Cricetulus griseus: one gene and its partner. The protein of the gene in region 1 binds, or shares a complex with, the protein of each later gene. Links are inferred from orthologs where the notes say so. Each region holds a gene or a part of one and is shown in the gene's direction. Other genes may lie near its edges.

The links. Proteins that work in one complex are often made in the same cells at the same time.
Region 2: the proteins of Klhl12 (region 1) and Pef1 are in contact, whole or in part, in a crystal structure (PDB 8RBH), measured with the Homo sapiens proteins. The link is inferred for Cricetulus griseus from reciprocal best matches to the Homo sapiens genes KLHL12 and PEF1. Residues at the interface, in NP_067646.1 of Homo sapiens: Phe289, Gln293, Arg320, Tyr321, Leu371, Glu417, Tyr434, Ile439, Phe481, His486, Cys511, Tyr512, Tyr528, Leu533, Cys558; in NP_036524.1 of Homo sapiens: Gly15, Gln16, Ala17, Pro18, Gly19, Ala20, Pro21, Pro22.

The regions. Positions count from the first base shown.
Region 1 is NC_048598.1:54,784,168-54,790,067, reverse strand, and holds the start of Klhl12 (kelch-like protein 12), read left to right. Parts: upstream 1-2,315; 5' UTR 2,316-2,452; intron 2,453-2,467; exon of another isoform or gene 2,468-2,788; intron 2,789-5,895; exon of another isoform or gene 5,896-5,900. UniProt on the Homo sapiens protein: Substrate-specific adapter of a BCR (BTB-CUL3-RBX1) E3 ubiquitin ligase complex that acts as a negative regulator of Wnt signaling pathway and ER-Golgi transport.
Region 2 is NC_048595.1:22,915,877-22,921,891, reverse strand, and holds the start of Pef1 (peflin), read left to right. Parts: upstream 1-2,642; 5' UTR 2,643-3,055; coding exon 3,056-3,130; intron 3,131-3,444; coding exon 3,445-3,718; intron 3,719-6,015. UniProt on the Homo sapiens protein: Calcium-binding protein that acts as an adapter that bridges unrelated proteins or stabilizes weak protein-protein complexes in response to calcium.

The DNA.
Region 1 (5,900 bases):
CTGACTTGTGCTATTGGCTGGTGGTATCCAACCTTGCAGGTGTCTTGGTGGCTGCTCATTAGACTATATTCTCCTTGATCCCACATTTACACAACCAATTGGTAGCTTTTCCATGGCAGAAAGTTAGTTCTATCACAGCTCCAAAGAAGTAGCTGCACTCTTTCTTGTTTAGCTCATATTGAATTCCTTATCTGTGGGGTGATCTGAGAAGTCTCCTAGGTAGAAACTATTGTTAGCAGCCATCTTTACTTACATCTTAATCTATTAAAATTAGCAACATTAGCAGCAAGAGTATATGAAAGGACAATCATGTCTCACAACCATGCCTCAAGGGCTTCAGGAGGACTGGATGACTTCTCTTCACCGGCCCAGAGCTTTGTCCTTCCTGTTATATGTTTAGCTTGGCTGTGTCATCCCAGCTACAAGCCCTCTTACTCATTTCCCTGAGTGCTCTAGACTCTGCCATCTTAACTCTTAGTACTTTAAACCCCGGACTCGGTTTTCATTGCAATATGAGTGATTTGCAGTTTTCACCACGGGCCCTTTTCCCTTACTACCTATAGAGAACGAGGTCCTGCATTACATTGGAGCCTTAGCAACTCAATTATTATAAATGGTAAAGACCCAAAGAATAGGTTGTCGAACAACTTTAGTCCCAGCACTTGGGAGGCAGAAGCAAGTGTATCTCTGTGAGTTCAAGGCCAGCCTGTCTACAGAGTGAGTTCCAGAACAGCCAGAGGAACCCTGTCTCGAAAAACCAAAAATTAAAAAAAATCCCAAAGAAACTCTCTATCCTGCTACCTCCATCCATTTTGGGCTTCTCATATGCTAGCTACACTTCCAGCTTTTGTTGCTACTGTTTTTAGGATAGAATTTCCCACGAAGGCTGAGCTACTCTTGAATTCCCTCTCTCCTGCTGTCATCTCCCAAGTATGGGTTTACATGTGTAATGCCCAGCTCTCAAGAAAATTCTTGAATAACTTGTGTTTTCTGTTTGTCAGGAAAGCATTTGCCTAGATGAAAGAAAAAGGGCAAAAAGTCTATTAAGAAAATGTTTACATGTAAAAGCAGAAACAGTCAGAGAAGGCCAAGAAAGCTAGTAAATAATGTTTTATGTGTATAAATGTTTTGCCTGTATGTATGTATGTGCACCATGTATGTGCCTGGTGACCAAGGAGGTCAGAAGAGGGCATTGGTTCCTGTTCTAGCTACCTTACATTTATCTACTCTAGAAGTTTTGGGGAGGCACTCCTGCCTGGGGACACGACAAACAGTCCAATGTCTAGGATACAAAAAACAATCAAAATATATCTATATTAATCATTTCAACAAATAAATCCAAAGAGCCCTCAATAGAATTTCTATCAGTTCTGCATTGTACTCCATCCACCATATTTAAAATTCAGGAACATTTTGGGATCAGGAAGATATGACACGAAGGAAACACTAAAGCTGCCCACTTGACTACACTTTATGATCTTTAAAAAACCAAATGTTTGCCAAGCGTGGTGGCACAAGGTTTTAATCCCAGCACTCGGGAGGCATAGGTAGGAGGATCTCTGTGAGTTCGAGGCCAACCTGATGTACAGAGCGAGTTCCAAGACAGTCCGGGGCTACACATAGAAACCCTATCTCGAAAAACAAAACAAACAGAACCAAATGTTGTACAGAGAAAAGCAGGATAATCCAATTTATTCATTCATATACGCTAAACCAAGAAATACCTTTCCCTTCTCAGCCACAAGGTAAACTTGAAATCAACGAGAAGCAAAATTCCTAACAACTTCAGCACTAATGAATGACATGGTGATGGGTCAATGCAATAGAGATGACTAGTGTCCTCTTTGAGAAGGTCCTTTGCAGTTTCCCTCACTGTGTCCAATTTCTGACAGTTTAGTCAATCCACAAGTTCCTTCCCCTTGGCTGGGAGTGAAGGAAGTCATCGCCTCATGGTTGACAGGCCCATTCAGGGCCCAGAGGCCTGCGGTCACAGGGCCTAAGAAGGTCCCACGGCGACAGGCAGCCTGATTGTTCACAACTGACCTGGGCAATTTTGAAGTTGCGGGGGACTGCTGAGTGTGAGGGGGACGCAGCCGCCTGCCGTACCGTGTGTGGGGACCGGCAGCCTCGAACCCTTCGCCTCCGGCCCACGCTCCCGCGCCGCACGTCCCACTCCGTCCACCCTTCCACTTTCTCTTTCCCGTTTTCTGAACCCCCAGGTACGCAGGGCCCCTCCGCTTGGCCTCCCTAACGTGACGTGACCTAGGAGAGGGTCGCCCCTCCCGTTGCGCGACGTCATCACGCCGCGCGGCTGACGAGCCTAGAGACTGGAGTACCACAGAGACTGCTCCGCAGCGGCTGGTCCGGGCGGCGGCGGCGGCGGCGCTCCGGCTGCTCAGCCGCCTGAGAGCCCCGCGCCCAGCCCCTCCGCTTGGGCGTCCACGGAGCCCAGGTGAGTGGATGCGGCGGTGACACCCGGCCTTCCACTTCTGCCCTCATTCTGGGGTGCGGCCTTCCCCCAGCCCTGGTGACCCCCGGATCGGGCGGAGACTCGGTGGGGCGCCCCGGGGTTAGCGGTGGCTTCTCTGCTTCCCCGGAGCAGCGCCTGCCTGCCTGCCTGCCTGCCTGCCGCCCGCCTGCCTGCCCGCCTGCCTGCCTGCCTGCCTGCCTGCCCCGGGAGAAGGTTTCACCTGAAAGGAAAGAATTCGGCCGAGAAACAGTTAAGGCGAAGTTTATTTAACAAAGCAAAGCTACATACTCCAAAGATTGGAGTGGGCTTTCTCGGAAGGTAGGTGGGAGCAGCGCATTGGGGTCTGCGTTGGGCATTTTAAAGGAGTTTTTAAAGAGAACTGATGAGGTGCATGGTATATTCATGCAACACCCTTGCCCTCGCAAATTATAGTGAACCTCATGTTCCGTTGTAGGGCACCCCCCCACAATGTGATCTTGAAAAAAAAAAAATCAAGGTGCTGGTGTCGAAACCGCAACACATTGTAATGAAGCCAGAGTCTTTTTGCAATCCCTTCTTGAATAACGTGCATGTTGGCAATTCGTTAAGCACTCTGATGCCTTGGTTTCTGATACAGTGGGAATATCCCAAATTTAGCTTCACGGATGCTTCGCCAGAGAGGTGCATGCTGACCATGGGAAGGCTTAGTGCAATTTGGTTGGTTTCCTGCGTTCTGGCGTGCGTTAAGTCCCCACCTAACCAGGAGACACAGCTACCAAGATACAGATGCAGTTTTCCATGACTACCGCATATCTAACTCCTTGCCCTACCTATCCAGGTCTTTCTAATACTTGATGATGGTAAGCTTGGCGTTGGCAGGGGAGAACGACGTTATTTTTTTCCTTTTCATTTTAGTCTTCTAGAATTTGATGCCCCTCCCCCCCATTCAAAATGGAACCCCTCTATTCAGATATTAGCACAAGTTCTAGAATATGGCGTTTCTAAAAGGTAAAGGATGTGCTCAGGAGCTTTGTGCTGGGAGGAGGGTTGCTAGACTGGGGTTACTGTCAGTTTTGACACCAACCTTAAAAGTTCCAATCACAGGCTGAGCCCTGCCTGTAGTAAGACACCAGGAAAATTTCATAATCTTCAGACCCTTACTGAGAATTCAACAAATCCCTAGAGTTTCTTGTGGCTCACAATTGAAACTATGTTAACTTTAGGAAAGCTTTTAAAAACGAAAACAATTTGCTTTAGAGAATCATCCCCTTTTTTGTAAAATAGAGGTTGTGGAGTTGTTGGAGGTGCTTTTAATGTAACTAAACAAGAGATGAGAACTTAGAACCTCAACTTTTCAGAAATTATGATTGTGAACTTTGGAAGAAGAGTTTCTTTGTTTGTTTGTTTGTTTGTTTGTTTTTCGAGACAGGGTTTCTCTGTGTAGCTTTGGAGCCTATCCTGGCACTCGCTCTGGAGACCAGGCTGGCCAACTCACAGAGATCCGCCTGCCTCTGCCTCCTAAGTGCTGGGATTAAAGGCGTGCGCCACCAATGCCCGGCTTATAAATGTTGTTCCTGAGTAACAAGGATCCCCAAAGATACCAGGGAGACAGACCACCAATGCAAATGCACAAGGTTTATTAAATTGTTTACCCTACTGAGGGAGAGACCCTGTCTAGCAAGCTGATGCAGCAGCCTCCAGAGGGGGTGAAGTTCCCTGACTACTACTAGCTTTGTTTTTGTTTTGTTTTTTGGTTTTTTGAGACAGGGTTTCTCTGTGACTTTGGATGCTGTCCTGGAACTAGCTGTTGTAGACCAACCTAGTCTCGAACTCACAGAGCTCCTGCCTGCCTCTGCCTCCCGAGTGCTGGGATTAAGGTGTGCACCATCATGGCCAGGTCTTGAGTTTCTTTTCTTGGTTCATTTCAGAAAGTAAAAGATTGTTCTCATAACCACCTCCATCGCATTCCCCAATAAGGGTTCTGAGGAGGAAAATAGCACTACTAAAATCTTCCCACTCAGGAAAGTATTCCTCACATTGCTTTTCAAATACATAATTATTCAACTGATGCATATACGTGAACTTCGGGGTTCTGGTCATTCTCTGATACTCATAGGGAATTAGTTACAGGAATCCACAGATAGCAAAATCTGAGTGTGCTAGTCTTTGGTTTGGTTTTTTGAGATGGAGCCCAGGCTGTCCTGGAACTCATTATGTAGACTACGGTGACCTTCAGCTTGAAGCAATCTACCTCTGTATCCCAAGTGCTTGAATTATGGGGGATACTCCACTACACCTGGCTCTGAAGTCATATAGAATGATATGCATAGTATTTGCATATACTCCATGCACACACTCTGGATTACTCATACCTAAAACAATAAAATTGTTGTTTTTGTACTGGCTGATTTTATGTCAGTATGACACAAGCTATGGTCATCTGAGAGGAGGGAACCTTATTTAAGAAAAGGCCTATAGAAGATCAGGGTGCAGTGAATTTGGTAGGGCATTTTCTTAACTAGTGATTGATGGTGGAATGCTTAGCTCACTGTGCTGCCCCTGGTCTCTTGGTCCTGTGTTCTTTAAGAACACAGGTGGTAGTACTGCACTCCTTTAATCCTGGCACTTGGGAGGGAGAGGCGAGCAAATGTCTGTGAGCTGAGGCCAGCCTGGTCTACCGATCAAGTGCCAGGACAGCCAGGACTACAACAGAGAAACCCTGTCTCAAAAAACAAGAGAAAGAAAAGAAAAGAAAAAAGAAAGAAAAGTAAGTAAATTGAGCAAGTCATAAGGAACAAGTCAATGAGCCTCCCCTCCATGGCTTCTGCATCATTTCCTGGAGTATCAGTTCCACTTGGTTTGAGTTCCTACAGTGGACTGTGACTTGGGATCTGTAAGCCAAATAAACCCTTTCCTCCCCAAGTTGCTTTTTTGTTGATTTTGCTTGTTTTTGGAGACAGTGTTTCTCTGTGTAACCTTGGCTGTCCTGTAACTCACTCTTTAAACCAGGTTGGCCTCAATCTCAAGACATCTGCCTGCCTCTGCCTCCCAAGTGCAGGGATTTAAAGGTGTGAGCCATTACACCTGACTCCCAAGTTGCTTTTTGATCGTGGTGTTTTATCACAACATTAGTAACCCTGACTAAGATAGTGTTATTTAGGGAAAATAATAAAAGTCTGTACATGTTCAAAGTCAATACTTTACCTTTTGAATATTTTGATCCTTACTTGGTTGAATACAAAGATGTAGAACTAGTAGAATTTGGAGGCAGAAGAGATAACTTAAGTTGGTGTTAGCTAGATTATGGTAGTGGTGCCAGGGTCGGGCATGCTCTGGACTTGTGGAAGTTTGTGTTTAAGGAAGCCCCTTTTTAGTTCCTTAATTTGTAAAGCTAATTGTGTATTCAGCTTCCCACTTCTTCAAATATGGTCTCTTTTCTCTTGTAGCTGCA
Region 2 (6,015 bases), on another chromosome or scaffold:
GACAGATGATAAAGAAGCTGCTGCCAGCTATCCTTTCATTAGCTCACAAAATGCAAATTCTGATTGCAAAAAACTCTTTATCTGTAGTTGTTCATCCTTTTCATACTATACTGATCAATAAAAGCCCACCAAAGGGGCTGGAAAGATGGCTCAGAGCTTAAAAGCGCCAACTGCTCTTCCAGAGGTCCTGAGTTCAATTCCCAGCAACCACATGGTGGCTCACAACCATCTGTTATGAGATCTGGTGCCCTCTTCTGGTGTGCAGATATACATGGAAGCAGACTGTTGTATACATAATAAATAAATAAAATCTTTAAATAATAATAAAAAAAGCCCACCAAAGCATTGGCACGTAAGTAAGAGTGGAAGGTTCACATTCCGGCAGCAGCCTTGTGGCCCTCCCTCTGTGTTTCAAATGTGGTGAAAGAGACCATTTCTAAAAACAAAACTTACTGATGGACTTCAATATGGTTAAACCCCTTTCTAAAATGCACTGTGAATGTAAAGATGGCTTCTCTGGGCCAGTCAGTGCCCATCTAGAGTTGCTAGTGAAGGCAGTCCAATTGAGGGACGCACAAGGATGAGTGCTGAGGGCAGCTTGGTGATGCAGCAAACCCCTTTGGTTCCCTGCCTGTGGTCCCAGTGCCCTGGCCCTGCGCTGCCTCTGCAGGGGCCCAGAACTACGGGTGCTGTGCTTTGTACTTCTGCCTCACGCCACCCAGCTCCATCCCAAGCCTGAGACATCAAGAGGTTGGATTATTAAAGGTATTTCTATATTAGATCTATCTGTAATTAGGATATAAAATTAAATGTAATAGAAGAGGTAAAGAGGAACCCCTTCCAACAAATGTTTTGACTTGATTTTAGGTAACTGGACTCTAAAAGTTTTGTTTGCCCAGATTTTTTTTCCTCCAGATGTCATTGATTCTGACTACATTAGTCAGATTCACATTATAGGTTATTGCCAGCTGCTCCAAGAAATTCCAGCTCTAACTCAGTTGATAAAATTGATTATTAATCCTTATCCCACCCTATAGACACTGATAACAGGCTAAGGAAGAACTTGATTCCACAGGGCACACTGGACTCAGTTGGTATTTCTAACAGCCAGATTCCCATGAAGGGCATTAGAGACATAGCAGCTGGTGTCTCCATTATAGTGTAATAACTCTGGCCTAGTTGGCACATTGAATCCCCGGTTTTAGACATTCAAGGAATTGGTGACAAAAGTAATCCCCCACTTTTGTAAGTACAGAAACCTTACGTGCAGTTTTCCAAAATCAAACTGCTGTTTTCCACTTCTTTGTTTTACCCTTATCTTTCTCCCTTGTGGCAGTGGGGTTGTGACAGCCCCTGAATATCCCTTTCCCTCAGGGCCATGAGAAACACCTACCTAAGCTTTCTTGGATCAAAGGTCCCCCTAACTGGGGACAAACGTAAGCAATTATGTCAGCTAATCCAAGAACAACTTCAGCCAGACCATATAGAACCCATTGTTCAGTGCTGTTATCTATCTTCTATCTTCCCCAAAATCTGTTAAATGGAGGCTTTTATGTGATCTCCATGTTATTAATGCTCCTTTTCATCTCTTGGAGCCATCCAGCCTGGAGTTCCACCTCTCCTATGTTTATAGTTACTGATTTAAAATAATTGCTTTTTTTTTTTTTTTTTCTATTCCATTATGCCCTGGTCATCAAGAATTGCTTTCTCAGTGCCTCCTGTCAATAAGCAAACACCTATATCTCCCTTCCAATGGCAAGTACTTCTCCAGCTGCCAGTGGTGGGTATATAGTATAGTACTACCGCTAAAAAGGCAATACACTCTATTAGATAAAAGTCTTCAGATACTTATTACATATTTCAGTATATGGATGATATCCAATTAGCCTCTTATACTAAAGTATATGTCTGTTTTAAAGGATTTACACACTTCAATACAAGTCTCTCTTCATTTGCAGCTTGTCCCAGCAGAGTTCAGCTAGGTGTTCCATGTCTGGTATACATGTCTGGTATATTGTCCATCATCCTTCCCTTGTTGATTACAATGGTCTGTTCCCAAAAAGATAATATTAAATTCTTTTCATTAGCTCTTGGGCAATATCAGTTTGCTTTGGCCTCCCTTGAGAATTCTCAAAGTGGCTTTCCCATCTTTTTGCCTCCCTTACAGATCTTGGACTCATCTCCTTAATTCCTTTTGCTTTACAGTTCCAATGAGTGGCTTGAGCCTGGAAGGAGGACAGCTTAGATTTATGCTCTCTGTTTATCTTGAACACTCCTCTTTCCCTTGCAGCAGGATTCACTCCCTTTTCAGCTATTTTACAATGGTTGTTTCTTCCCAATATACCTAAAACTTTTGTTTTAATCCCAAACCAACAGTGACTCTTATTTACCAGGACAGAACCAGAGTTGTCCAACTTACTGGATAGACTTACTAGACAAGACCCTGATTTGTTGTTGTTTTTCAAGACAGGGTTTCTCTGTATAGCCCTGGCTGTCCTGGAACTCGATCTGTAGACCAGGCTGGCCTTGAACTCACAGAGATTCACCTGCCTCTGCCTCTCAAGTGCTGGGATTAAACTCGTTTGTTTGTTTGTTTGTTTGTTTTCATCCTTCTAGATCTCAGAATAATTTCAACTTCCCTTTGCAAACCTCAGAAGAGTGGCAATTAGCTTTTTGTTTTTGAGAACAAAACTCTTTTCATTCCCTCCTATAAAGACTCTATAGGATTCTGTTACTTCCATGCAGGGCTTTTCTCCAACAAATACACAACCTATTTCCAGGGTTAGGCAAAAGGCAGAGGGCAAGGAGTGGAGGATTCATATGTGGGCTGGCTCTTGGTCAGACTACTCCAGGAGGAAGTTGCTTCGTCTTCCTTCCCTAGTACATTATTGGCATGAGTTAGAGGCTGACAAACCTGAACGGTGGTATTTGGGTTTTGTCCCTACTGCCCTGGGGATAGGCTCCCTGTCTACCTTAGAGTCATGAAGTTAGGGACTATTCGTGCATCTTGAGCTGCTGTGGAGGGTCCATGCTGTGACTACATCACTGGCGGCTGATGAGGGGCGGAGCTTTGTATCAAAGACTGTACTTGTGCTGTGAATTCTGCAGGTGGAGGTCAAGATCCCAAAGGGTGAGCATTCCACTTTGTTCATATATTTACTGAGCATCCATTGTCCCCTGGAGCTAGGGATAAAGCCACAAGTCAAACATGATCCCAGGCCTTGTAGGGCCCTTGATGTACAGGAAAGAGAAGTCAGGAGGATAAGATGCCAGTCTGGACTCTGTATGACCTTGGGTAACAAGTAGCTTCCCTAGAAGCCTCAAGGCCACCTGAGCAGAAATGTAAGTCCAACCTCACCTGTGGGCAGTGCAGGTGCTTTGTAGCTGTAAAGTGCTATGCTGTGGCTTCTTTCCTCACCCTGCTCATGCCTGTTTTTCCTGCAGACTTTCCCGGGAGCTGCAGGACAGGCACCTGGAGCACCCCCAGGTGGCTACTACCCTGGACCTCCCCATGGTGGGGGCCAGTATGGCAGTGGACTTCCCCCTGGCGGTGGTTACGGAGGTCCTGCCCCCGGAGGGCCCTATGGATACCCCAGTGCTGGGGGACTCCCCTCTGGAACTCCCAGCGGACCATATGGTGGTGTACCTCCAGGAGGCCCCTACGGTCAGCCACCTCCAAGTTCCTATGGTGCCCAACAGCCTGGACCTTATGGACAGGGTAAGTAGAACCTTCAGCTCTGGGACCCAGTGTAGAACCTCTGACCTGGTCTAAGCTATCCATGTCCCCTCCTTGTCCTTCCTGAAGATGTGCGTGTGCCCCAGTCTCTGGCACCATAGCCCTTCGCTTCCTGCTTTGCCTATACTGGCCGAATGAGAAGTCCATCAGTTAGCTTTACTGGGCCAACATTCCCAAAGTCCTCTTGGCTTACAACAAGCATTTATTTCTACTGTTTGCTTACTCTCGCTCATGTGTCAGCAACTGTGGGTTGCCAGCTGAGTTTCTGCTCCATGTATCTTTCATTCTGGGACTAGTGCTGAAGGAGCATCCCCTTTGGGGCATGTTGTCCTTAGGGTAGAGGGAAAGAGTAAGAAGCTAGCCGGGCTGGGCGGTAGCTCTGCAGGGTCCACTCAGAAGGACTGATGTCTCATCTACTCATGTTCTTTTGGCCGAAGCACATCCCGTTGTCAAGCTGAACCCCGGCTGGAGATGGTGCTCCTCTCATAGGGTATCTTTGAGCTACCAGGCGGTGGGAGAGGGTGTACAATGCTTGGATCAGGAAGGGGGATCCGAAGATAATTGGAGACAGCAATGTAGTCCATGGGAGAAGAAACTCCGTTCCTGTAGGAGGGTGACTGGCCACATCTGTGGAAAGAAAATATGTCACCAGTGAAAGCTTCTCCAATCAGACCCTGGCCTGCCCAAACTGCCTCTGTAAGCCTCAGTGTCCAGCTCTGTGAAATAGGGACAGTGCCTCACAGGCTGATTAGTAAGGACTAAATGTGAAGCTGCAGCTTAATGCTAGGCATAGCATCTGAACTTAATGGACAGCACTCTGTGAGAGACTTGTAACAGTACAGGAGAATATTGGTGTGAAATGTGATGGTAGCTATGGCAAATAAGAGGATGAAAGAGAAGGGGAAAGAGAGCCGCAGGCTGGAGGGAAGGTATTAGACAAGACAAGGAGGGTTGAGATTGAAGAGCTTTAGCTGGGGTCTCTTAGCAGAGGGCTGGGGAAAGTGGGTGCCAGTCCTTGCTTTTCCCGGGTTCCCTTTAGTCAGCTCCTTCACAGCACTGCTGTTCTCAGGGGCCCAGCACCAGCTAGGCAGCCAGGAACTGCTTTGGCTTATGAGAAGGGCCTCCAGGGAGTGCTGTGCTTAGGAAGCAAACAGCATCTGAATGTACCCAGGCAGGTGGTCCTGGGGGAGATGCCCAAACCTCTGGGGTTCTGCGCCCAGCCAGCCAGTGGCATTTATCTTCTCAGAGCCCAAGCGTCTGGCTGTTGGCTTCCAACTTAGAGGCTCTGCAAATGGATTTCTGTACCCTCCAAAACCTTGTGTCTGAGCTCATAGGAAGTCTGCAGGGAAAGGAGCCCCTGACTCTGAGGGCCTGAAAGTGGCTGTAGTGTGTAGAGCAGGGGAGGAGAGGAGGGGCTCACCTTATGTGCTCAGCCTCCCTCTCATTTGACTGCATTGTTTCCTCTCTAGGGTGGCTAGCAACACCTGGGAGTGGTACTGCATACATCCTGATCTATGCACTTGCCTTAGAGTCCTGGGAAGGTCCACCTCCTGGGTTTGAGTACTAGTATACAACTGTGGGTGACAGAGCTGACCATTGGCGGTGCTCCTCTGTTTGCAGAAAGAGGGCCTCTGGCTGCCGCATTTGCCATCAGCCCTTGCTGTCCATCCAGCAGAGATGCTGTAAATGCATCCTGGGTGTTTCTTTGCTGCCTTCTCCTCCCCCACAGCTCCTCATTCCTTCAAAAGCAGCTGAAATACCCCTTCTCTGAAAATGCCCCCACCACCCGCTTTCCAACCTTTGCTGAGGGCTTCATCTTGCTGTTGTCTCATTCCAAACACTCTTGGACACGGTTCATTTTATAAATATGGAAGTTGGAATTCAAAAAAGTTACTTATCTCATCTGAAGTTGCACAACTAGTAAAAACCAGTTAGGACTTGAATCCAGGTCTACCTTGAATCTAAGGCTGAGTTCTTCTGTTCGAAGCACACAGGCACACTTGTAACAGAAACTCCTCCCTCCCCACTGACCCTGCTTGTTCTAGTTCGGTTTCTGTAAAGAGCACCATGACCAAAAGCAACTTAGAGGAAGAAAGGGTTTATTTGGCTTTCATCAAGGGAAACTGAGGCAGGAAGCTTAAAGCAGAAACCTAGGAGGAGCACTGCTTGCCACCTTGATCTCTTGCTCATTCTTGGGTTCACACTCAGCTAGTCTTTCTCTTCAGCACAGGCCCACCTGCCTAGGGATGGTACTGCCCACGGTGGGCTTCTATATCAAC